Drosophila melanogaster: one gene and its partners. The protein of the gene in region 3 purifies or fractionates together with the protein of the main gene of each other region. This does not show direct contact. Each region holds a gene or a part of one and is shown on either strand. Other genes may lie near its edges. The genes, in order: Hrb98DE, Parg, Parp1 and Argk1.

Region 1 (7,729 bases), about 25 Mb from region 3:
TTTTCCTGGTCAAAGGGAAAAGTGATGTCCAGCCGGGATTCGCAGTCTTGGCCTTTATGATTTTTATACTTGTACACAAAGGGCAGCGTGCGAGTGGCAGTAGAGTCCATTTCAGAGGTCCTTAGTCGGTGTTTTAGTTAGTTATAGTCATTAATTCGCAAGTTAACGCCCCCTGCCTAAAAGAAATGCAATTAGTATGACCGTATTGCGACCGCTTAAATATATCGCAGAAAACTTATTCACCACTTAGAGAAGACTCAAACCAACAACAAAGTGACAGACACAGTGCTCATTTATCATGATTTATTATTTTCAGTGGACTAATTAAAATTTAACATTAAATGCAACAAAATGAATGCTTTGAAAATCATTCAACTATATAAAACGGAATTTGCGATTTTACGCCAATCACGTTACATTCGCAACGCCATTATTGTTCAAATACCGTTATTTTCCCCCACTGGTGAAATTTTAATTCAAAATGAAACGAAAATCATTTTGTTTGGTATTCTGAAATTTCTTTATTCAAAGATAGTAATAATGAAAATAAAATGAAGTAATAAATAAAAGTCGTATATTTACGATGGTGCAGAGGGGAAACCGTTCAACATCCATTCCATCCTCAGGTGCGACGAGCCGATTCAGACCACCTGAAAGTTACAACTTTTTCCGGATTTGGGATCTGCGGAGGATTACTTACCCAGAGGGAACCGAAACCCAGCGACCGGAGTTGCTAGCAAACGCGGGCACCTTCCGTGGCTGCATTCAGTAGCGCGGCGGCAGTCTTTCAGCGCTTCGCATACTTTTCGCAGCCAACTGGCAACAGAAATTACAATAATATACATGGTTGTAAATGACATGGTACAGCAGGCGGGGGGCAAATCAAATAAAAGGGGAAAATGATTCCTGTTAAGCGAGTGAAAGGAGAACTCTCGAACGACGTTAATGGCCCGCCCACAACAAATGCTATAGTAAAGTACATATTCTTGGCTGGCTTTTGGACCTGGTCAGACTTGCTGCACCTTGTTACCTCTGCAATACACTCTCATTCTGATCGAGATCCTTTTGCTGATGCTGCTACAGAAATATAGAAAACTACGAGGCTTTGGCTTAGCTATATACTTTTTGTTCTTTCGTCAGAGTTTACATCAATTGCGGGACACTTGCTTATTTTTTTTTTTTGCATCTTGTATTTTTTAGCTACATTAAAATGTAAATTTTGTTAAGTATAATTGCGCTGACTCCTCAGACAGACTGCTTGCTAAAAGGTATAAATTACAATAAAGGTTGTTTGTTGATCGGTTACATCTAAGCAGCGGAAGAGGTTATATCCATGTCGACACTTATTCAAAAATCTAAGTATCTAGATTCCTCCACACACGGTCAGGTTCGCTTAGAACTTGAATAGTAAAATTATTAAGACTAGGGTAGCGTGCGGATGGATGCAGAAGTCGCTCCGCACGCTCTACTCGATTTAATTCTATGAGAACTTAGCCTAGTAAAGTTGTAAAATGTAATACATGTTTTTATATATTTTGTGTTTTCTGCTCTGATTATCAAAAGTTGCCGGCAGCCGATGGACTGGAGAGCTGTCTGCAACCAAAGAAACATATCTCTCGGCTGCCGCCTTGAAGTTTTACATAGCTGATTCGTTTATGACTGGTTGTTTTAAGTAGGTTGGTTGGTTGGTTGCTCGTGTGGTGGAGATACAAATGTTTGGCCTGTCGTCGGCTTTGTGGATCTAATTACAATGTTACTTATATGGGCTGCTACATATGGGTTGCAAATTATAGATTACAATTCTGTGGGTATTGGATAGTTTTCGATGCGCCTCTTGACATTCAATTTATCATCGCTTGCAAAGACAAATTGAATGGAATCCTGGTCACCTTCTGTGTACGTGTACTGCCACTTGCTGTGTTTCTTCTGTTTAGCTCACACACTGCTCTGCACTGCACTGCACTCTGTATTGGTCTGGTCTTGCTTGGTACTGATCTCTCTTTCTGTTCTAATCCAAGACTGAACCAAACTTCTTACGACTTCACTGCACTGCACTGATCCTGATCAATCAATCTGTAATGTTTGGTTTGTGGTGCTCGGAAAACTTCTTAGGACTATGAACGTGCGTTCATACTTCATCATATTGATCATTGAATTGCGTATCGTTTACTTGACTTTGAATTTTGGGATTATACTGAGCGACTTTTACTTTATCACCTATAAAATGTCGATAAATGAGAAACGTTATTTAAAACAATTGGTATGAAAAGGAGTTCTTAATTGGTTGATGGGTTTTTGTTCTCTAAATACTTAAAAGTGTAAATACGTATATAAGTTTGTTGAGTAAGGTGGGTCGGACTGTCTCAGCCGTTTTGCTTTTTAGTCTCAATATGCTTTATAAACTACCAAAAATGCCGATAAGGGCGCTATTATAAAAAAAAAAAAACACACAACATATGTTTGTCAAATCAAGCGAAAGATTAATGGTCATACGGGATAGATAAGCGGTTAGTTATGGCCTGAATTCGCCTTGGACTATGTATATTTTTGTGTTAGTAGTGGTTATTTGGATGTCTCACCTCGTCCGGAATCTCTCTCAATATCTGCGGTTGTTGCCACCGTTATTGAAGCCCTGATTGTTTCCGCCATAGTTGCCTTGATTGCCACCGCCTAAAAGAAAACCCAGGATCGTTAGGAACATATCCAATCGTCTTTCTAGTCTAGTTTCTATACTGGTGGTGACTGTTCATGAAAAAACTGTAACGTGGCTGCGTGTTACGTCGTACTGGGATTATCTTACATACGCATAACATAGCGAAGGCCATCGTCAGTTGATCTCACAGCGTTTAATAAGCTAACTGCCAAACTCTATCGACGCTCTAACAGTTAGGTGTCAGGGTACTGTGTCTTGCTATCTAGTTGTTATCAGTAATGCATCAACAGACGTGCTGTTGCTCACCTGCTTTGAATCCACCACCTCCTTGGTAGGGCTGCATGCGATTGTTGTTGAAGTTGCCGCCACCTCGCTGCGGACCGCCGCCATAGTTCTGCTGGTAGCCTCCAAAATCATTGCCACCATTGTTCCAATTGTTGCCGCCGCCTCCAAAGTTGCCGCCTCCATTGCCATTGTCCCACGGATTGTTATTGCCCCAGCTGTTGTTGCCACCGCCATAACCACCACCGCCGCCGCCGCCACCACCGAAGCTGTTGTTGCCCCAGTTGTCGTTACCCCCGCGGTTGTTGCCCCAGTTGTTGCCACCGTTGTTCTGCAATGCCAATTAACCAGTAATAAGCCTCAAATCGAATTGATGGCGATCAATAAGTTCTTACCCAGTTGCCGCCACCATTCTGGTTGCCGTAGTTTCCACCGCCCATGTTTCCGCGGTTTCCACCGGCACGACCACCCGGACCACCGCGTCCTCCGCCACCTCCCTGTTGGTCATTCTGCTTGGGCAAGGCCTTCTTTACGTCCACCATTTTGCCATTCAGCTGATGCTGCTTTTGCACTGCAAAAATAAAGAGGGAAAGCATGCTATTAGTGGTATTCGAAAATGAACTTCCCTATGTGGTGCATCCGGAGGATAGTGTGCCATATACTCTTTCATCATTGGTGCACAAACACCACCAACAACAACAATATAATACTGGCTGGGATTTCATCTTACAGTCACAAACGCCGCACGAGCACATCGAACATTGCTATGCGGAGCTGGGACTGTGGAATTTTAGCTAAAATTAGGATCGATATCGGATAGTACACATTCACCATTTCGGTGCATTTGATTTGCAGTTGTAACGAGGCTGCGTGTTACACAGAATTGATTTATAATATACATTCGCATCACATAGCTTAGCCGACGCTTAAATTAATCTCACAGCGTTTAAATAAAAACCATACAGGCGACTTTTTCAAGCCCGTCAATTTGTCAGTACTGTGACGTCCACGAAGGGGCTGATCTAGAAACTTTCTGTTTAATCGGTTCGATAATCAAGGTGTGCCTTATACTCTTTCATCGTTGATGCACGAAGAGCACCAACAACAATGATATAATACTGGCTGGAATTTATTCTAACAGTCACAAACGCCGCACGAGCACATCGAACATTGCTGTGCGGAGCTGGGACTGTGGAATCGTAGCTAATTTTAGGAGATATATTCACGCTAAATAACATTCACCATTCTGTGGATTTGTCAGTATATTCAAGTAAGCGAAGGCATTTAGATACTCATTCTTTTCATATAGTTGGTAATTCAATGTGATATTGTGCCTTATACTCTTTCATCGTTGATGCACGAACAGCGCCAACAACACGATATAATATGGGCTGGGTCTTTTATCTTACAGTCACAAACGCCGCATGAGCACATCGAACATTGCTATGCGGAGCTGGGACTGTGTATCGATTTCCATAATAGCAATTAATTGAACTATTGTAACGAGGCTGCGTGTTACACTGAATAGGCGCAATGCTTACATTCGCATAACATAGCTTAGCCGACGCTTTAATTCATCTCACAGCGTTTAAAAAAAAACTACCCTGGTGATGGTTTCAAACCAGTTAATTTGTCAGTACTGTGATATTAGGAAACAGTTTTAGATTCAAGCTATAGTGTGCCATATACTCTTTCATCGTTGATGCACGAAGAGCACCAACAACAATGATATAATACTGGCTGGAATTTATTCTTACAGTCACAAACGCCGCACAAGCACATCGAACATTGCTATGCGGAGCTGGGACTGTGGATATATTGTAATAATTGCAATTTTATCGAAATTTCTTGCTTATAGTGCGCATTCGTTTATCCGACGCTGATGGACATTTACGAGAAGCCCTACAATGTGCCAGAGCTGATTGAGCATATAGATTAGGGGTGGTTGCATGTCATACTTTTTTTCTACACGAACGCCGCGTACACAAATGGGGTTAATATTCGTTTCCTGTGCAGATAATTCAATCTGTATTGTATAAATCTAAGAACATGGCAATGTGATTTTCCTAACAGTCTACTCTCGAAGAGATAAATCATTCTTAAAGGATATTTGATATTGTCTAGATTAGGAAAAGCGTTGTACTTACACACAACTTTGTCCACGGGATCGTAGTCGTCGAACTCGACGAAGGCGAATCCGCGTTTCTTGCCAGTCTCCTTGTCAATGACTATGTTGATGTCGACGATGTTGCCAAAGTGCTGGAAGTAGTCGCGGATGCTCTGCTCATCATGGTCGTCCTTGAGGGCGCCAACAAAGAGTTTCTTTACGGTGGCTCCGGCATTCGGGGAATCAATGTCCTGACGGGGAACGGCGCGCTTGGGCTCCACCACTCGACCGTCGATCTTGTGGGGACGCGACTTTTGGGCCTCATCAATCATGCTCGAGTGGGAATAGGTGATGAATCCGAATCCGCGGGAACGCTTTGTGCGCGGATCCTTCATGACCACCACGTCCACGATGTTGCCCCATTTCTCGAAGTGAGCCTTTAGGTTCTCGTCGGTGGTACGGTAGTCCAAGCCACCGATGAACAGCTTGCGCATATGCTCCGGCTCGGTGATGGAGTCCTGAGGAAAGTCCTAAATTATTGATTTTATCAATGGCCATAACCTCACTTTCCGCCCTTGAGACACATGCGTAATTTTCAAAATGGCGACCGGCAAGGCGAGACACCAGCTTACAGGAAATTTCTAGACCCTTAATATCCACTACTTACATCATCATGGCCATTGGAGTTGCCGTTCTGGTTCTGGTTCGAGTTCACCATTTTACTAATGCAAAAGTTGAACAACTTCTAATCTAACTATTTTTTTTGCTATTGCAAATGGAGAAAGTCCCCTGACACACGAGACGAATGAAAAAACTGAATACAGTGTGACCGTTTCTACAACCCGATTAAACCCAGCACCTATTCGATACTACCTAGAACGATAACGATAAGTTGACAGACACCCTTGTCAATACAATACTTTTACAATATCTGCCCTGTTTCTTTTCACCATGCCTTAAAAAATGTGTGTAACATGTGTATTCTTGATCACGCCTTTTGCACTAAAAAGCTAAAAGAGAAACCAATACCGACAGCATCGTACTCCCTAGCACTATTAAGATACAACTACTGTTAGTCTTAGTCTTAAGTAACAAAACCGCAACGAAATGCTTTAGCACATCAACTTTAGTTGCCGCATGGGTAAAAGCGCGTTGATCACCAAAATATATATATATTGGGATTATGGCCGAACTGAGTTTTTTCCCTGTGCAGTCGCGGTTTTGTGTGCTACTTACATCTTGCTCCTCATTTTGACCATTGTTCCAGTTGTCGTGACCACCCATTTCGAAGAACTTATATTTAAATATCTTTACTGCTCTGATATATATCTCAGCAATACTATAGAAATAACGACACTGGGAACGAAAGACGCTCACTGTAGCACCCCTTCCCTAAAACTGAAAATATATTTTCCTGTGGAAAGGAAAGCCGTAGACAGACCTTACAAAAATACTAGACCTAAATAAAAGCAAAGGTATTTGGTTACACTAATCGGTTGTTGCTTCCACTTGTTTCCACTGAAAATCTATGTGGGTCAAATTAGCGTCTATGGCAGAACGGTGAAATATGGAAAATGAGAATCTTATTTATTTATTTAATTTTTCGCTATTTATAGGTAAATTCCAAAAAAAATACAAATGCAAAAATCTTAATAAATCGAACTATTTAAGAGATCTAACTATCTATGTACGACTAAAGTTTATAGGACTCAGAAAGTATATAAAATATGCAATAAAAAAATCGGCTAGCTACTTTTCAAGGAATATCTCCACTCGCAGAGCATATTCCAAAATGCACGCTGGCCAGAAAAATGATGTGTTAAATTACTCGGCTCCGCCGTCGCCGCTAACTCCACGATGCTAATTTAACGCATTTTTTGTAGCTATTTTCAAGATGTAGCTACATATTTAGCGGAATATTCGAAAGCTTTTTGTGGTATTTTTCGGCGCACCCGCAGCAGCCACACTGCCGCACACGTAAGGAAATAAGTTTTCTAATTCCTTGATTTCAAAAATGCCGAAAAAGAAGACTGGGCAGCGTAAGAAGGCCGAGAAGCAGAAGCTTCGCCTCAAGGAGATCCGCAGCAGAGAGGTGCCTCTTGCGGATTTGCCCTGCAATGCACCAATGGAGTGCGACAAGTGCGAGAAGAAGCAGAAGTCGAGAGCCTTCTGCTATTTCTGCCAGAGCATTCAGAGATTACCCATTTGCGCCCAGTGCGGGAAAATCAAGTGCATGCTAAAGACCGGCGACTGCGTGGTCAAACATCCGGGCGTCTACACCACGGGCCTCGGAATGGTGGGCGCCATCTGCGACTTCTGCGAGGCTTGGGTTTGCCACGGACGCAAGTGTCTCCAAAACCACGCCTGCACGTGTCCGCTGCAGAATGCGACCTGCCTGGAGTGCGAACGCGGTGTCTGGGAGCACGGTGGGCGCATCTTCAAGTGCTCCTTCTGCAACGGATTCCTGTGCGAGGACGATCAGTTCGAGCACCAGGCCAGCTGTCAGGTGGGTAACCAAAAATACTCATTAAGCTTGTTCCGAACTTCATTTTGAGATTCATATGACGCCTTTTGGTAATGCAATCCATTCGGTTCCAGGTGCTGGAGTCGGAGAACTACAAGTGTCAATCGTGCAACAAGCTGGGTCAATACTCCTGCCTGCGCTGCAAGACCTGTTACTGCGAGGA
Region 2 (4,921 bases), on a different chromosome or scaffold from region 3:
CTGCGAGAAGGACATTTACCGACTGACACGGCGCAACAAAAAGAGGACGGGCAATGATGAGGCTTGGATCAAGAAGACAACCACGGAACGTAAGTTGTTGAATCGAAATCCATTCCAACCAAAGACGATTGGAATTTCAAGCGATGTACACATGTACATCTATGCTATAGATCCATTGATATCGATATGATACCACCTGCTGTCTTTCCAGCTGATGGCTCCACCTGGCTGCACGTGAACTATGCCAACATGTTTCTGCGAAGTCGTCGATCGGATGGAAACACTCCATCGATATCGAACGAATGCTGCACCAAGGCGGGCTGCACCTGGGAGGAATACGCCGAGTATTGTCCATCCAACAAGCGACGCAATCACTACTGATTGGCCATCGACGTTGGATCTGCTTAGATATATATATATATATACGAACAAACAAATATATATTCGCTTTTTTTTTCGTGGTTGTTGTTGTTGATGTTCTTGTTGTGGTCAAATAAAATAAACAAAAGGTTTCGGTTAAATAAAAAGAAACTTTACTGGCTTTAACTACAAATTTCGCATAATAAAAGCTAGATTTGCATGATATAACAAATTATATTAATCAATCAATGTTATACAAATTTAACAGTAAAATTGTCTTTGCAGATTAGAATAGTATAATTAAAAAAAAAAAAAAAATTTCACTTTATTCGACTTACAATGATCCTACTTTAAAATGCCCTAAATATGTCCTTAAAGTTATCTACAATACATTTTATACCTCTTCAATTTTGGGGGCAGTAACAATCCTGTAGTGCAATATCACCTAGTCAACAATATCGTCCTTTTCGTCCTTGTCGGTCACATCGATCTCCTTACGACTCTTTGCTGAACCCTCAGCCTTGCTGCAGTTGGGTGATTTTCGTGGCCTCTTCGAGGCCGAACCCTTTTCATAATGGGTGTCCAGCATCTCGAGCAGGCTCAACTGGCGGCCACCTGAACCCATTGATTTCGTGGCTGTACTGCTCGTTTTGGACGTTGTGCTGCTGTTGCTTATTTCTACGCTGCTTTTAGCCTCCAGACTAGCGGCCTCCATCATGGCATTGGCCTCCTCATCGTCCGACAGCATAAGAAGGGCCTGATCTTCCGAAGAATTTGAGTTATCTTGCGATAATTGCGCGGGCAATAGATCGGTACTTTGTTGCGTTATGGTGATTTGCGGTCGGGCGGGTTGCTTGTTGAGTTCTGGCGAGGATTTCGCTGATGTTTCTGATTTTCCTTCGCCTAATCCAGCTACTCTAGAGCTTCCAGCTTCGGCGGATGCTCCCTCTCCGGGCACATCTCTGACCTTCTTAAGTTCCTCTTTAATAAAATCATATAGCTTCTTTTTGGATGCCTTATTCTCACGCGGCTCCTTGGAGCTCTTCTCCTTAATAAGCCTACTGTACGACCTTAAAATACTCCAAAGCTGCTGCACCGTAGTCCCGTCATTTCGAAACAACAGCCACATTTCATGAAAATCATCCCTAAACTCCACATTTCCAAAGGTATAGTAGGCCAAAGGTCTGCCCAACTGGGCGCAGACCATAAGTTGCAGCAGGGCTTTCAGATAGGAGTCACCGCCGAATGCGCCGCAACCCCAGTTACCAGTTGCCACACCCGGTGGCGGCGTCACCATCCAGTGAACAAATCCAATGTACGCCTTGTTCAGCTCCCTTTCCATGAGATCCTCGCGATATTGATGATGTGACTGGGCAAAATGTAGGGCATCGATTGCCACAATGGCCGTTTGTCGACGACCTGAGCTATCTCTTGGCGTTGAATCCTCAAAGTTGCCGGACCACTCGAAGCTTCCGGCATATCCCGTATAGTTACTATACCTTTCGGCGCCCAACATCACCAGGGCCTCGAATGGTCGCAGACACTCCGTAAAGAGTTTACCCACCAATAGCTCCGGACAGATAACAAAGCGTATCTCCTCCTGAACGCAGCCATGTCCCAAGACACCGCCACCCAAATATTTGTTGGCAAAGTCTACTTGCAGCAGTCCAATGCCCTCATCCTCGATTGTTCCCTCGGCATCCACGTGCAATGGCACATCACCCAACGGCGCCGCACTTTGGCTCCAGTCGATCAGATGTTCCGGCAATCCGCTCCGACGAACAAAGGTTACCACACCGGTGGGCACATTGCTGGCATCCCGCTCTGTGGGACACACGCGACGAAAATAGTGCATAATGCATTTAAGCTTCTCCAGAACTGCCGGTCCCGTCGATTGGTAAAGCCTTTTGATGGAATCGAATATATTTAACATACTTCGACTGAAGATATACGAATCTGGTGGACGCTCACCTGTTAAAGTTGATGTCTGGAAAAGTGCTGTACTCGGACTTCCTCTTGAGGGTGTTTCTCCGGGGAAAGGTGCACAGGAAGGCATTGGCCAACAGGCAGGAGATCTGCTGTTGGCTCAGGCTCAATGAGGCGTTCTTGTGGTGCTTGAGCAGCGGAACTGGCGATTGAATCAAGTCCGGTAGCCGCAATGCCAATCGGATAATGCGCGGCAATAGATCCTCGAAGAAAACCCGTGTTTCGCTCTCGTCCAGTTCCTCGTCGAGAAGTTGATGAAGGGCACGAAAGTGCCACTGATCCCTATAGGTGGTATTATATGATATTATCGCCGCCTGCAGTTCCTCACACGTCTTTATGGGCTGCAGAAGGGCTCGTTCGATCATTTCCCAGCGAAAATCGATGGTGGTGCTGCCATCCGGATTCTCCCTCGGATATTTCGACTCGGGCGCACAGGGCAGACGCACATGCTCGGAGTCCCACTTTCCCGGTGATTTGTAGGGGCGTGGCGGTGTTTCACGAATTGGCAGCTGGTACATAACCCGGTGGAGATTGCCGGCAGTCACTGGTGGCAAATTCTCCAATTCGAAAGGCTGCCGATTACGATGTATAGCCTCCATGGAAACTCCACGCCACGAATCATCTAGGGAGTTCGCCAGATTTTCCGGCTCCTCCTCCGTTTCTATTTCGGAAATCCCGCCATCCGGCGACTTCGACATCCTGGCGCAGTTTAAGCACAAAGCCTTGCCGAGTCGATTGGTCAGCACGGATGCACTTGCTCTGCGGCGATTTGCCGTAGATTGGTAAACCTTTTGGAATATCGGAAAAATCAAGTGTGACCTGAATTCTTGCATACCGGTGTTTTGGGGATGAGCGATAGCTGTGATGAATATCGCACTTTATAAATACCACACACTTCGATTGAAGCGTAGTGAATTGAAGCGTTTATATATCGAAATATATTCAAATATATGTTGGTATTCGTTTGAGAATGAATCAATAACAAATTCAAAATTGCATTGCCTTGAATTCGGCGGGCGAAAGTGTGACCATTACATGTGGTATTTTACCTCTCATTGTCGCTAGTATTTAAATACCAGCACGAGAAATACCAACACTGTGTCCGTTGCAATGCGAATTGCAAATATAACCGCCGAAGGAACAACAACAAACAAAAAGAAAAAAAAAACAAATCTTCCAGCAATTTGTCAACTATTTTCTCTAATTTTTTTTTAAAGTGTAAAACTATCATAACGAGCGCCAAGTTTTACGTTAAGTGAAAGGATTTTTTCCTGTCCTTCGTGCGGTAAAAATAATAGTGCATATTACCAAGGAAAATCAAGTTAAAGGCGTCTGCGAAACTTTTATAAATGTATTTAATACTCAAAAAGGTAAGAAGCGGCGGAAAGTAATTGCTGTTTTATGTTTTTATAATCACGTTTGGCAAGAAAATGTTATTTCGTTGACGTCAGTGGTCAAATCAAATTTTTTCAGTTTTTAACCCTTAATGTGGCACTGTCACTCGCACCTATGTATATATTTATGTGATTGTGGTATTTTGCTCAAGCTTACGTGTTGAAAAGAGGAAGAGAAACCGCTGCATACACGTGCAAAGACTCTGAGAATGGACACAAGAGAGCGAGAGAGGGAGAGAGAGAGAGCGCAGTTGTTTGTTTTGAAAGCGTCGCAAAAACAATACAAAAAAGGTCATACATAATTTGCACACACACTTGCATCTGAGGAAAACGCAAAAGCAAATTCACAGCTAGCTAAAAACCAAAATAAATATAATTTATGAAATGTACTTTTGCTAAAGTTCAACACACCTTTATCTCTCCGCGAAATTTGTTTGCACCATCTCTTTCTCTCCTTTTTGCGTAAACAAACGAAAAAGCTTTGCAAGGAGAAGCAAAAAAAAAAAACACAAAAACAAAAATCGAATTATCAGTAGAATTCTACAAAGAAGAGGCGTTTCTCTTCATCGCTCTTCGTACCTGAGCGTAGCCTTCAAATTTGCTTAGATTTCGCCTTGACCATAACCTAGAAATACTCGAAAAAAGTACTGTCAACTCTCAATAAGTTAAACGATCGATTTTCACATAAAGAGATAGAGAGAGAAAGAGACCAGATATTAAGTGAAATTTATTTTACTAAATAAATTTTCAGAAAAAGGTGTAAATCCCGAGCATTTAGATTTCGTTGATGAACTTTAACGCAATGGGAGTCTGCACTGTACATGTAGAGCTTTCTCTTTTCTCATTTGCGTCAGCGAAAATACTAGGAATAATCGGGGGTGGCGTTTCGGGGGTTGGCAAAAAAAACAAGCAACAACAAAAATGCATAGAGCCGAATAATCGCTTGGAAAAAGCGAGCGACGAAAACGCGATGTTAGTAAACTTTTCAAGGTCACCTCAAAAGCATGAACTTATACTAATCAACAGCTGAAAGAAGCAGAAGACTGCACTTCCATGAGTCAGTTTCAGAAATTAAACAAAACGAGGGAACCAAACCAATTTGAAAATTCAATTTACATATTTGTGGAAATTTCTGTTCTTTATTAATTAATATACAGATTTTAAAGAAATAATTCATTTTT
Region 3 (4,791 bases):
CAAAAATGACTTTATATAAGAATATTTGTCATTAGAGTATTCATCTTGCGGCGTGTGAAAAATTAATAAGGCAATGATTGTTGAGTGCTTGTGTCCGCACTTCGTGCCTCAAGATATGAACAAAGCAAAGACACTAGAATAATTCTAGTGTCTTTGATGTGACTTTTGCAATAAACAGTTTTCATATTTTTATTTATTTTACAAATTTGTATTTTCTACTTCGTATTATTTTTATGAAATATTTATTTCTCGATGTAATGTATTCCTTTTGTTATAAGTAGTTATAATAATTTATATTTTACTTCCTTTAATTATTTAGCATACTTATTAAGTCATTTGACTTAATATGATTTATATATGATAATGATCCATTTTTATTATTTAAAATGCACATTAGATTCAGTTGTTTTTCAGTATGTTATTTAAATAACTGACGACTGAAAAATCGAGCAGTATATAATAAAAAACAATAGTTAGAAAAATAACTTAATTGGGGAATGTGGAAATGTTTTAATGTTAAACATTAAAATATTTCAAGTCGACTCGAAGGTCATATACGTAAATATAAGACCCCATTACAATTGTAATGGCCTCCCCGTGGTGTTCCCTGGGTACCGACTATTACACATATTACACATAAATAATTATCAACATAAATATAAATATGTAAACGGTAGCTAATTCGAGCGGCGATTTTAACAAACGAATTTAAAAAGCTTTAAAATTAAAAAATTTTAAAATTAAAATTAAAATTTTAAAATTATAATAAGAAGGGCGCGAATTTTTAAAAATTATTTTATTTCATCATATTGCTACGAAATTGGCAAAAAACTACCCTAATATGTACAATGTAAATTCATTTCTTTGATCAGAATTGATTTCGGCCCGAAAATCGTCTTCTAGCACAACACGCACACATATACGCGTTCTCGTCTCTTGTTTTTACTCACACAAGCAAGCAAATTCTATTTTTAGATTTCTTATGTTCTCAGCGTGAGCGAGCGGAAAGAGAGCAATTTTGGCCGTCACCAAAAAAGTGGCTGCATAGTGCCAAACCAATGTATGGCCGTTACGCATCTTGTTATTCTAGTGTCTTTGCCAAAACTAATGGTTGGGGGAGTGGCATATCCATAAGTCCATTAGACTTAAGCACATGCCTACACACAGCTTCTTATTATAGAAGAACAACACTAGTAAACCAAAAGCAATCCTGACTGGAATAAGCCCAAAGTCGTATACAGGATGATAATCGAAAACTTTATTTTAAGATTTCAATAAACAAAGTCGTGAGGATCTAAGAGCGTTTGTATCCAATAGCGAATGAACTCGAGTCCAAGAGAAATGCAAAGACAAATCAATGTTAGTAACTCCAAAGCTCTGTTTATTTCATTGGAACTCCAAAATCCAAAGCCCATATTTATAAAGCTCGAGGCCGAGGATTCAAAGTCAATCAATCCATATCAATTTGTTGAGTTCAGTTTCAGACCTTAATTAAAACGGTCGGTGTTATTATTCAGTAAGAACATAATTACCATTCCTTCTTAATCTTCCAAATGACCACCCTTTCTTGTTAAACTAGCTGGTGTATAATCGACACAGAATTTTAATGTTGCCGAATTCAATTACAAAGTTATATAGTTAACAGTCGTACGTCTTATAACAGAATACAGCTTAATTACGGAATGAGCTCCTGTACAAGGTCTTTAGAATCATTGGAAATCGTCTATAATAATATTTTTGTAGTCTTTAACATCGATATACAATTTTATTATTTAGGAAAATATCGCCAACATAATTCGATAAATAATAAATGTCTTGAAATTGACTTCCTTTAAAGTGTAATATGGATATTGAATTACCTTATCTTGCTGAGTATGCAAGAACTGGACGAGCCACTTGCAAAGGATGTAAAAGTACTATATCTAAAGATACTCTTCGGATTGCTGTCATGGTTCAAGTAAGTTACTATGTGGTACATACATACGTAAGTAGTCTGCAGATAAAAGATTGAAAATGAATTTGATTAAACTGATACTGATTTACGAAACTTTAAAAGATCCCGATTCGCCGTTAGTCCCATCGGTCGTCGACAGCTGCGGCATGTAATTGCCAGCGGTAAATCGTGTAGCGGTGGGGGCACAAATACTTGCGTCGCTCACCCACAGGGTGCCAGTGGCTTGCTGCAGTTCTCTGGCCCAGTGTGCGTGTGGCAATGCGTGCGGCCGAAGAAACGAAAACAGGTCCTCAAACATCACGTGAAATCGAAACTAGCGGGAACGACAGCGGGACTGACATTGGTACTGACAGTGGGACCGACATTGGGACCGACAGTGGGTCCGACATTGGGACCGACAGTGGGACCGACAGCGGGACTGACGGTGAGACCGACAGCGGGACTGACGGTGGGACCGACAGTGGGACTGACAGCGGGACCGACAGTGGGACCGACAGCGGGACTGACGTGGGACCGACAGTGGGATTAACAGTGGGACCGACAGCGGGACTGACAGTCGGACCAACAGTGGGACTGACAGTGGGACCGACAGCGGGACCGACAGTGGGACCGACCCTTCATTTCTTCTACCGTCACGCTTCAACCTATAAAAATGTTGCTTGTGAGTCGCTCACCCAAAGGGTTATTTCGCAGCAGGCGAAACACTCGGATATTTTTTATTGCCGAAAGTAGAGTGTCAAAAAACACCCGGGGGTATAGACACCCAGTTGGTGGGTGCGGGTGTACTAAGAGTGCCAGTGGCTTGCTGCAGTTCTGTGGTTGGGGCCGCAAAAATTGTAAGACCAGCTGAATTTTCGCCATGTCCTCACATGGTGATGATCGTTCTGAAACAAACTTTCACAGAGCGAAACATGAATACTAGCTTTTATAGTTTTCGAGATCATAGCTTTCATACAAAAGGACAAGGCCAATCAAGAATACCATGTCCGTCTGTCTGTCCGTATGAACGTCGAGATATCAGGAACTATAAAATCTAGAAGGTTGAGATTTAGCATACAGATTCTAGAGACATAGATGCAGCATGACCCATGTTGCCACGGCAACTCTAACGCCCACAAACCGCACAAAACTGCAACGCCAACCCTTTTGAAAAACGTGTTGATATTTTTTTTTTTCATTTTTATTAGTTCTGTAAATTTCTATCGACTTGCCACGCCCACTTTAAAGCCCTAAAATTGCACAAAACTGCCACGCACACACTTTTGAAAAATCGTTTTATTATTATTTTTTAATTGAAACGGTTACACCAAACGAACGAAAGACAAAGAAACTATTTTATTGTATTTCTTATTTTTTAGTCTGCATTTCATGATGCCAAAGTTCCGAATTGGTTTCATAAAACCTGCTTTTTTAAAAACCAGCGTCCCAGCTCAGTAGGAGACATACAAAACATTGGAAATCTCCGATTTGCCGATCAAAAGGAATTAACGGATCTTGTGGGTTAGTATTTAAAATTGATCTATATCAATTTAAAAACATTTTGAAATGTACTTAGAAAATATACAAGAAGTTATAAGCGCACAATTAGGAAAAAAGCGATCGAAGGCTTTTAACTTAGCATTAAAAGACTTTGGGATTGAATATGCAAAATCTAGTCGATCGACGTGTCGTGGATGTGAACAAAAAATAAACAAGGATCTAGTTCGCTTACGTAAAACTGTTTATGATACTGAAGTTGGTATGAAGTACGGAGGCCAACCTTTGTGGCATCATTTGGAATGCTTCGCCCAATTGCGCTCTGAGCTTGGCTGGTTTGCGTCAGGTGAAGATATGCCAGGATTTCAGAGCTTAGCAGATGATGATCAAGCGAAAGTTAAAAACGCCATACCGTAAGTTAATCTCACATTGAATTTCTATTAACTGTTCTGTAACTGTTCTGCATTGCTATTATTAAGTTATCCCTCTTAAAGAAAATAAGCTTGATTATACTGAAGATTGTAAACTGAAATAGATAACTGTAATTTGATCCACTAAGTATTCTGATCTCTTCTTGGTCATTCCTTAGTTGGGGATGCCCTTCAACTATATAGGTACAATAGTGTATATTCTTTGTTAAAAAATATTTATCAGGTAAAGGCAACATTTCCGGCACTAAAAAAATTAAATAATCGATCCCACCCTAAAAGATAAGACTCGAATTGTCCATGTCCGTATGAACGATGTGATTGTGGGAACTATAAAACTGGGTTGCGATTAAACATGCAGATCCGAGTGAAGCGGGCATATCAAAAGTTTTTTGACAATTGTAGATTGTAGAGGAAATCAACTATAACTTCGCCTGTAGTTTGTCGAAAAGTCAAGTGAATTTAACAATGTTATTTAATATATGTAAGTCGACCTTAATCGATGGGCATTGGTTGTATCGCCGCAGGAAAATAATGTAACTATTTTTCGCTATATTTAGGCTGGGTCGTGATTATTTGAGCGTAAATGTAACAGCTGAGTTAAAATTATACTGGAAAGGTACATACACTAGTGGGCATAAGTATTTAGACACCATTAGCTTGAAACTGCCGGGCTTTTCATAGTACAGTCAAATAAATAAGTAAACTATTGATGATAAAACAAAAAGTGCAATTACAGTTACACACGAAGGGTAAGTTTGGCTGTTTACCTTTTCAATTATCCTTGTGCTTATAAGAAAGCTAGACAGGCAACGATTTGGGCCGTGGCAAAAGTATTTAGACACATTTAATTAGTTCGCATTGATCTGTTGTTCGAAGAATATCAAATTTTCGACTTTTTTTTTAGATCATTTGAACATTTTTTCTTGATAA
Region 4 (4,887 bases), on a different chromosome or scaffold from region 3:
GTGTATCCCTATACTCCATAACATTTCGATAAATATTTGAAAACAAATATAGTCGCAAATAACGATTTTTCAATATGCAGTAATTGCAGTAAATCATATGCATTTTAATATAATTAAAAGTAAATGAAGCCTTTTAGTAGTTCGTAGAGTCACACTGGAAGGATCTAAGGCAGCCCTGGTTTTTGAAATTGATTTAAATTTGAAAAGTATGAAAATACTGCACTTTCTAGCTTTTGTTATAGAGTTAATCATAGTTCTTTTATAATGCCCTATAGATAAGAAAACAAAATAGAGCCAGTTATTTATTGTACTTTGCCAAAAGGCGTTAGCCTATTGGTGGGCGTGTTGCTTAGACGCAAATGTTTCAGTGCTTTAATGCCCACAAATGGCAGTAATTTAGAACTGTAACCACAATTTCTTATTTCCCACCCATTTCCCCAGTTACGAAATTACTTTCTCCACTCCCCCATTTCTTTGGGCCGGCGTCGTCATTTCTCTTGTCACGTAGGCCAAAACGGCAATAGCTGACGAAAAACTCGTGCGGCAAATTGATAAGCAAACAAACGAGCTCCACCCGGCATAAAATCGGCAAATCGGCAAAATACCGGCCCCAAATGCCGGCTGTATGGATGAGAACGAAAAAAACTAATACCGCTCCAAACTTCAATTATCACTTTTGTTATTACGCTAATTGCCGGCAGATAACAACTGGACGCTTTTTTCTTTATTTTTTTGCCAAAAAAATGCGAATTTTGTTTTGCACATGTGCAAATCAGAGAATGTTTGAATGTGTGCGATCAGCCGATTGCACTTATCACGAATGAGAGTTAGAGCCACAAAAGCCGGTTGTTATGGGCTGGGGTATTCGACGAGATCGGGGGAGTGGGAGATGGGAAAACGGACAGATAGTTCATCATGTGACACCGCTCGGTGACTAACTTTCTTGCCAAATGCAGGAAAATTATACACACAGTCGCATTAGCACCTTCGAACCATAACGATCACGGAAACGTAGAGCTAAATTGGTCTAATTCAACAACTGATAGCGATAAGATTATCGGGTTTGCAATGATTGCGTCCCAAAAGTGCGACTACTGTTATCGCCAAGATTTATGAAATGCAAGAAAGTAGCTTTGCTTGGTGAAGGTGTTGTTATTAGCATTGCATAACCATTAAAAGCCAGTAAATTTATTTGTATTACCCAATCCCCCAAAGCTCGAATCACATACCAGAAACTTTTCATTTAAAACGTACTTAGACCTTTTTCTGAATTGCAGAATATTTTTAAGCTTAACTCCAAAAAGGATCTCATTACGCCCCCAAACTACAATTCACCATTAACACTACCCAGCCGAAAAGTAGGCAACACAAAACGTTCATCCGCCCTGTGGGGGGCACAGCAGTGCTTGCCAAACTGTGGAAAACCCCTTTTGCACTTACCGTATTTCATCGACAGCAAAAGTTAAATACCACAAAGCGAACATTTTGTATTAGCTGAAATTGAGAGAAGATCGAATGAGTAAATAGTTAAGTGATTTTCAAAGCAATTTGACCGCTAATGTATACGAATTAATTGGACTATAAATGGCAATTTCCACACCACATGCACTTGTTGGACTGGCACTGAATCTGATTCACCCAGCGACCTCGAAAAGCGCAACAAATGACGTCGCCGTCAAGCAATGCAAAAAAAAAAAACTCAATCGAGCGAGGCGCTCATCAGAAAAGTAAGTTCCAGAGAGCCAGAGCTCAATTAAGACCCAAGGCACACAGATAAAAAAACAGTTGAACAGGCGAAAAGACAGCAGTGAATATATGCCGGCATTATTCAAGGTTTATTTATAAACAAAAGCGCGCATGGGTTTGCAAATGCAAAATGCAGAATGCCAAATTCGCAGAACGCTGAGCGCCGAGGCACGTGAAGTCGAGACTTTTGGGCAAACGGCCAGAGATGGGAAACAGTACACAGAAAAAACCTCATAAATGGGAAAATGAAAATGTTTTGTCATAAATTTGATTTCTGAATTTCTGAATTTCTTATTTAAACTCCTCCCCAATTGAAGCCTACTAACGCCAACATTATTAAAGTTTGCCTCAATTAAAAAGTTATAAATGAAAGTTTCTTTATATGAAATATTTGAGGCACCTGCCTAGTATTTGGTTTGCAAAGTTTATTTTTAAGATATGTCATAACATTTAATATGTATTCTCACAAGCAAACAAATTGCAAATTTTCCTCTGTGCACTGCAGATCAATTCGGAAAAAGGGGAACTTTTTGTGCACCGGATGGCGCCCAATGGTCGAAAGGGTTCTAAATTTAGATAGTGCTGCCATCGATCAATTAAATATGATTATTTTGCGCACTGTTTGCAGTCCCCTGAGCTTTGTTTATCCCTCGGATTTGAGCAAAGGCAAGCAAAATTCACCATGAAGCTCCGTCTGCGTTTGTTTTCTTTTGCACACGCGGCGTATGAGCAATCTGCGATGGTAATAGCACACTCAGACTCTGACAGTTACGTCACATCGCACGGCAAACGTATGAGTGGGTGGCTGGGGCGTGGAAAATGGGTGGGTGGTGGTGCCTAAGAACACTCATTCCCATAACACTCATTCACTGTTGCAGCATGCCACACATAACAAACAACTGGGGACTTGCAGCATGACCCCTTCTGCGTGCACTCACCTTTTGTGCCTGTGTTGGATAATAAAACGACTAGAAAAAGTTGCAAGTGCTTTTCCGGAGGGTTTTCCGTTCGATTTTTTCGTATATCAAAAGGTTCGTTTCGTTTAAATGCTTCACAGCTGGTCAAATATCGAGGACTGGTCTCGATTGTGTGTTGTTTGATTTTGAGTAAAGGTACAAAATTAATTTTCTCTCGACTGGCACTCTTCTGCTGTTGAATGCTTCTTTCAAGTTTTTTTCGACTGTCGTGCTCCGTGCGAAAATCGACTGCTCTACTGGCGGCAAAAGCGACGAGACTACGGCTACGACGGCATCCAACTGAGAGAGCCCCAAAGAGAATGGGGAGCACGGAGAGCGCCGACGCCAATGTTTCCTAGCTGTGGCTGCACTTGCGACGAAGCTTTTCTCACGAGATTCGTTTCCCAACGAACCCACGGGTTCTGTGCCAGGTACACCCGAAAAAAACTTAGAAGACTTTAATCAGATTCCAACAGAGAGGGTTCAGAGTTAACTACTATAAAGGATATACATATTTATTAGAGGACACTAGCAAATAATTAAATGTAGATATTTCAATGTAGTAATAACTAATAGTAAATCTATGAATTTTCTGTAACTAATTAATTATTTTTCTCTGTGCACGATTTCAATATTTATTTCCGTGTACTCTCCGATTCGGAATGTTACTCATAGGCTTACGCTATGCCACCGCTATGTGTCAATAATCGCGTTGAACCTGGTCAAAAGGCTGCCTAATCAATAAAAGAAAAGAATTTTCGGAAACAGTTTTTGGGCACTGGACGAGTCACTTTTCCAATTGGCACTATCAGTTCAATGTTTACTATTTATTTTGCTTACTGCAGCGTTTGGCCCAGGCCAAAACTATCAAATTTGGTCGAAAAAGCGCTGCTGACGCCTTTCGCCGGTTGTCTGTCGTGGGCAAATAAATCCAGATAATAAACTCGAGCGTACTGTTCAGTCATTCATTCAACAGCGCTATCTATTTTGCAAAGCCCACTTAATTGGCCTGGGTGATGATGATTGGGGTCTTATCGCTCGCCGAAGACTCTGCAGTTTGAGAGCCACTGCAACGGCAAAGATGCAATGGCAAGCGCACAGAGTCCGTGAATCCCGTGGACCAGGTTGCATAATGATACGTACAGCTGCTTACATAACCGCGGCAGCGAGAAAGGCGACCAGAAACAAGGTCAAAAGTTCAAGGACTGAGAAAAGCTCGAAAACATCCTGGAGCGCTTGCGTTGCTCAGCGGAAGTTCCTGCGAGTGTGGGTGTTCTGTTTTTGTTGACAAAAAGTTTTTATTATCACGAATTATGTACTTTTAATCGGCTACCTTCGGCCTACAGCACTAAATATTGTATAACACAACCCATGAAGTATGCAACGAAAATAAAGATTAAAGCACTTGAAAAGGATAACTTTCGAGCCCCTTCCGTAAATAATTAGGAGCACAATTTTGATTTAAGTTTCAAACATTTTTTATTGGTTTTTCAATTGAATGCATTTTGTTTGCTACGCTTTAATTGGTTTATATATCTTGGTTGTCTTACATTGTAATGATATTGCATATGCCACACAAACTGCTGTTGGCCTCGGTTGATTAAGCTTTAAAATCTTGCACAAAACATAATCATTGCAAATCAAATGGAAATTGACTTTGAATAAAACGCTTGCTTTCATATATTTTAAGCTATGTGCATTTTGTATGTGTATTATTTTACTACATATCGATATATAATTTAACATTTGAATCATTCTCATCTTCACTTTTCATCCTGACTGGAATATCAATCTAATTCCGCACGCTGTTGATTCACTCAAACACTTCGGTTCAAAACTTTGGTTCCCCCGCGTTCGTCCTTCGTTAACCCGCTAAGCTAGCTACTACTGGATCTGATCCGATCTCCTATAGTTCATTTTGAATTCTTCTCGTTGGCCATTTCATTTCAGATGGTCCGGTCGGTACTTATACTGGTTCTTAGTTCCGGAAAGGTTGTTAACATACTTTTGTTGGTCGCACACGTTTCGAATTGGCTTGTCTGTTGTTTTTGTAGTTTAATGTGTTGGTGTTATCTTTGTGTGTTGTCGGTTGTCGTTTGCCCTTTTTGTTGGATCTTGTTGTATCACAGCTTTCTTCACTTTTGCTCTTATAACTTTTAAGCATAACTTGCATATACATATATAT

The links.
Region 1: the proteins of Parp1 (region 3) and Hrb98DE purify together in Drosophila melanogaster (affinity purification with western blotting; 2 studies listed by BioGRID, with this or other methods). This does not show direct contact.
Region 2: the proteins of Parp1 (region 3) and Parg purify together in Drosophila melanogaster (affinity purification with mass spectrometry, with the first as the bait; one study listed by BioGRID). This does not show direct contact.
Region 4: the proteins of Parp1 (region 3) and Argk1 purify together in Drosophila melanogaster (affinity purification with mass spectrometry, with the first as the bait; one study listed by BioGRID). This does not show direct contact.

What each region holds. Positions count from the first base shown.
Region 1 is NT_033777.3:28,598,549-28,606,277, reverse strand, and holds Hrb98DE (heterogeneous nuclear ribonucleoprotein at 98DE), read right to left. Parts: upstream 5,872-7,729; 5' UTR 5,761-5,871; coding exon 5,710-5,760; intron 5,573-5,709; coding exon 5,083-5,572; intron 4,750-5,082; exon of another isoform or gene 4,610-4,749; intron 4,581-4,609; exon of another isoform or gene 4,431-4,580; intron 4,402-4,430; exon of another isoform or gene 4,262-4,401; intron 4,132-4,261; exon of another isoform or gene 3,992-4,131; intron 3,939-3,991; exon of another isoform or gene 3,789-3,938; intron 3,723-3,788; exon of another isoform or gene 3,583-3,722; intron 3,507-3,582; coding exon 3,331-3,506; intron 3,267-3,330; coding exon 2,960-3,266; intron 2,908-2,959; exon of another isoform or gene 2,756-2,907; intron 2,671-2,755; coding exon 2,597-2,670; 3' UTR 2,580-2,596; intron 2,218-2,579; exon of another isoform or gene 1,183-2,217; intron 817-1,182; 3' UTR 501-816; downstream 1-500. Other genes in the region: CG9986 (uncharacterized protein), read right to left, coding at 1-110; Noa36, read left to right, coding at 7,057-7,548, 7,641-7,729. UniProt on the Drosophila melanogaster protein: This protein is a component of ribonucleosomes.
Region 2 is NC_004354.4:3,668,324-3,673,244, forward strand, and holds Parg (Poly(ADP-ribose) glycohydrolase), read right to left. Parts: upstream 3,180-4,921; 5' UTR 3,045-3,179; coding exon 2,332-3,044; intron 2,265-2,331; coding exon 806-2,264; 3' UTR 514-805; downstream 1-513. Other genes in the region: Ilp7 (Insulin-like peptide 7), read left to right, coding at 1-89, 212-381.
Region 3 is NT_033777.3:3,584,032-3,588,822, reverse strand, and holds the start of Parp1 (Poly-(ADP-ribose) polymerase 1), read left to right. Parts: upstream 1-1,768; 5' UTR 1,769-1,843; coding exon 1,844-1,957; intron 1,958-3,312; coding exon 3,313-3,454; intron 3,455-3,509; coding exon 3,510-3,843; intron 3,844-4,791. UniProt on the Drosophila melanogaster protein: Poly-ADP-ribosyltransferase that mediates poly-ADP-ribosylation of proteins and plays a key role in DNA repair.
Region 4 is NT_037436.4:9,063,024-9,067,910, forward strand, and holds the start of Argk1 (arginine kinase 1), read right to left. Parts: upstream 3,005-4,887; 5' UTR 2,685-3,004; intron 1,495-2,684; 5' UTR 1,485-1,494; coding exon 1,441-1,484; intron 1-1,440.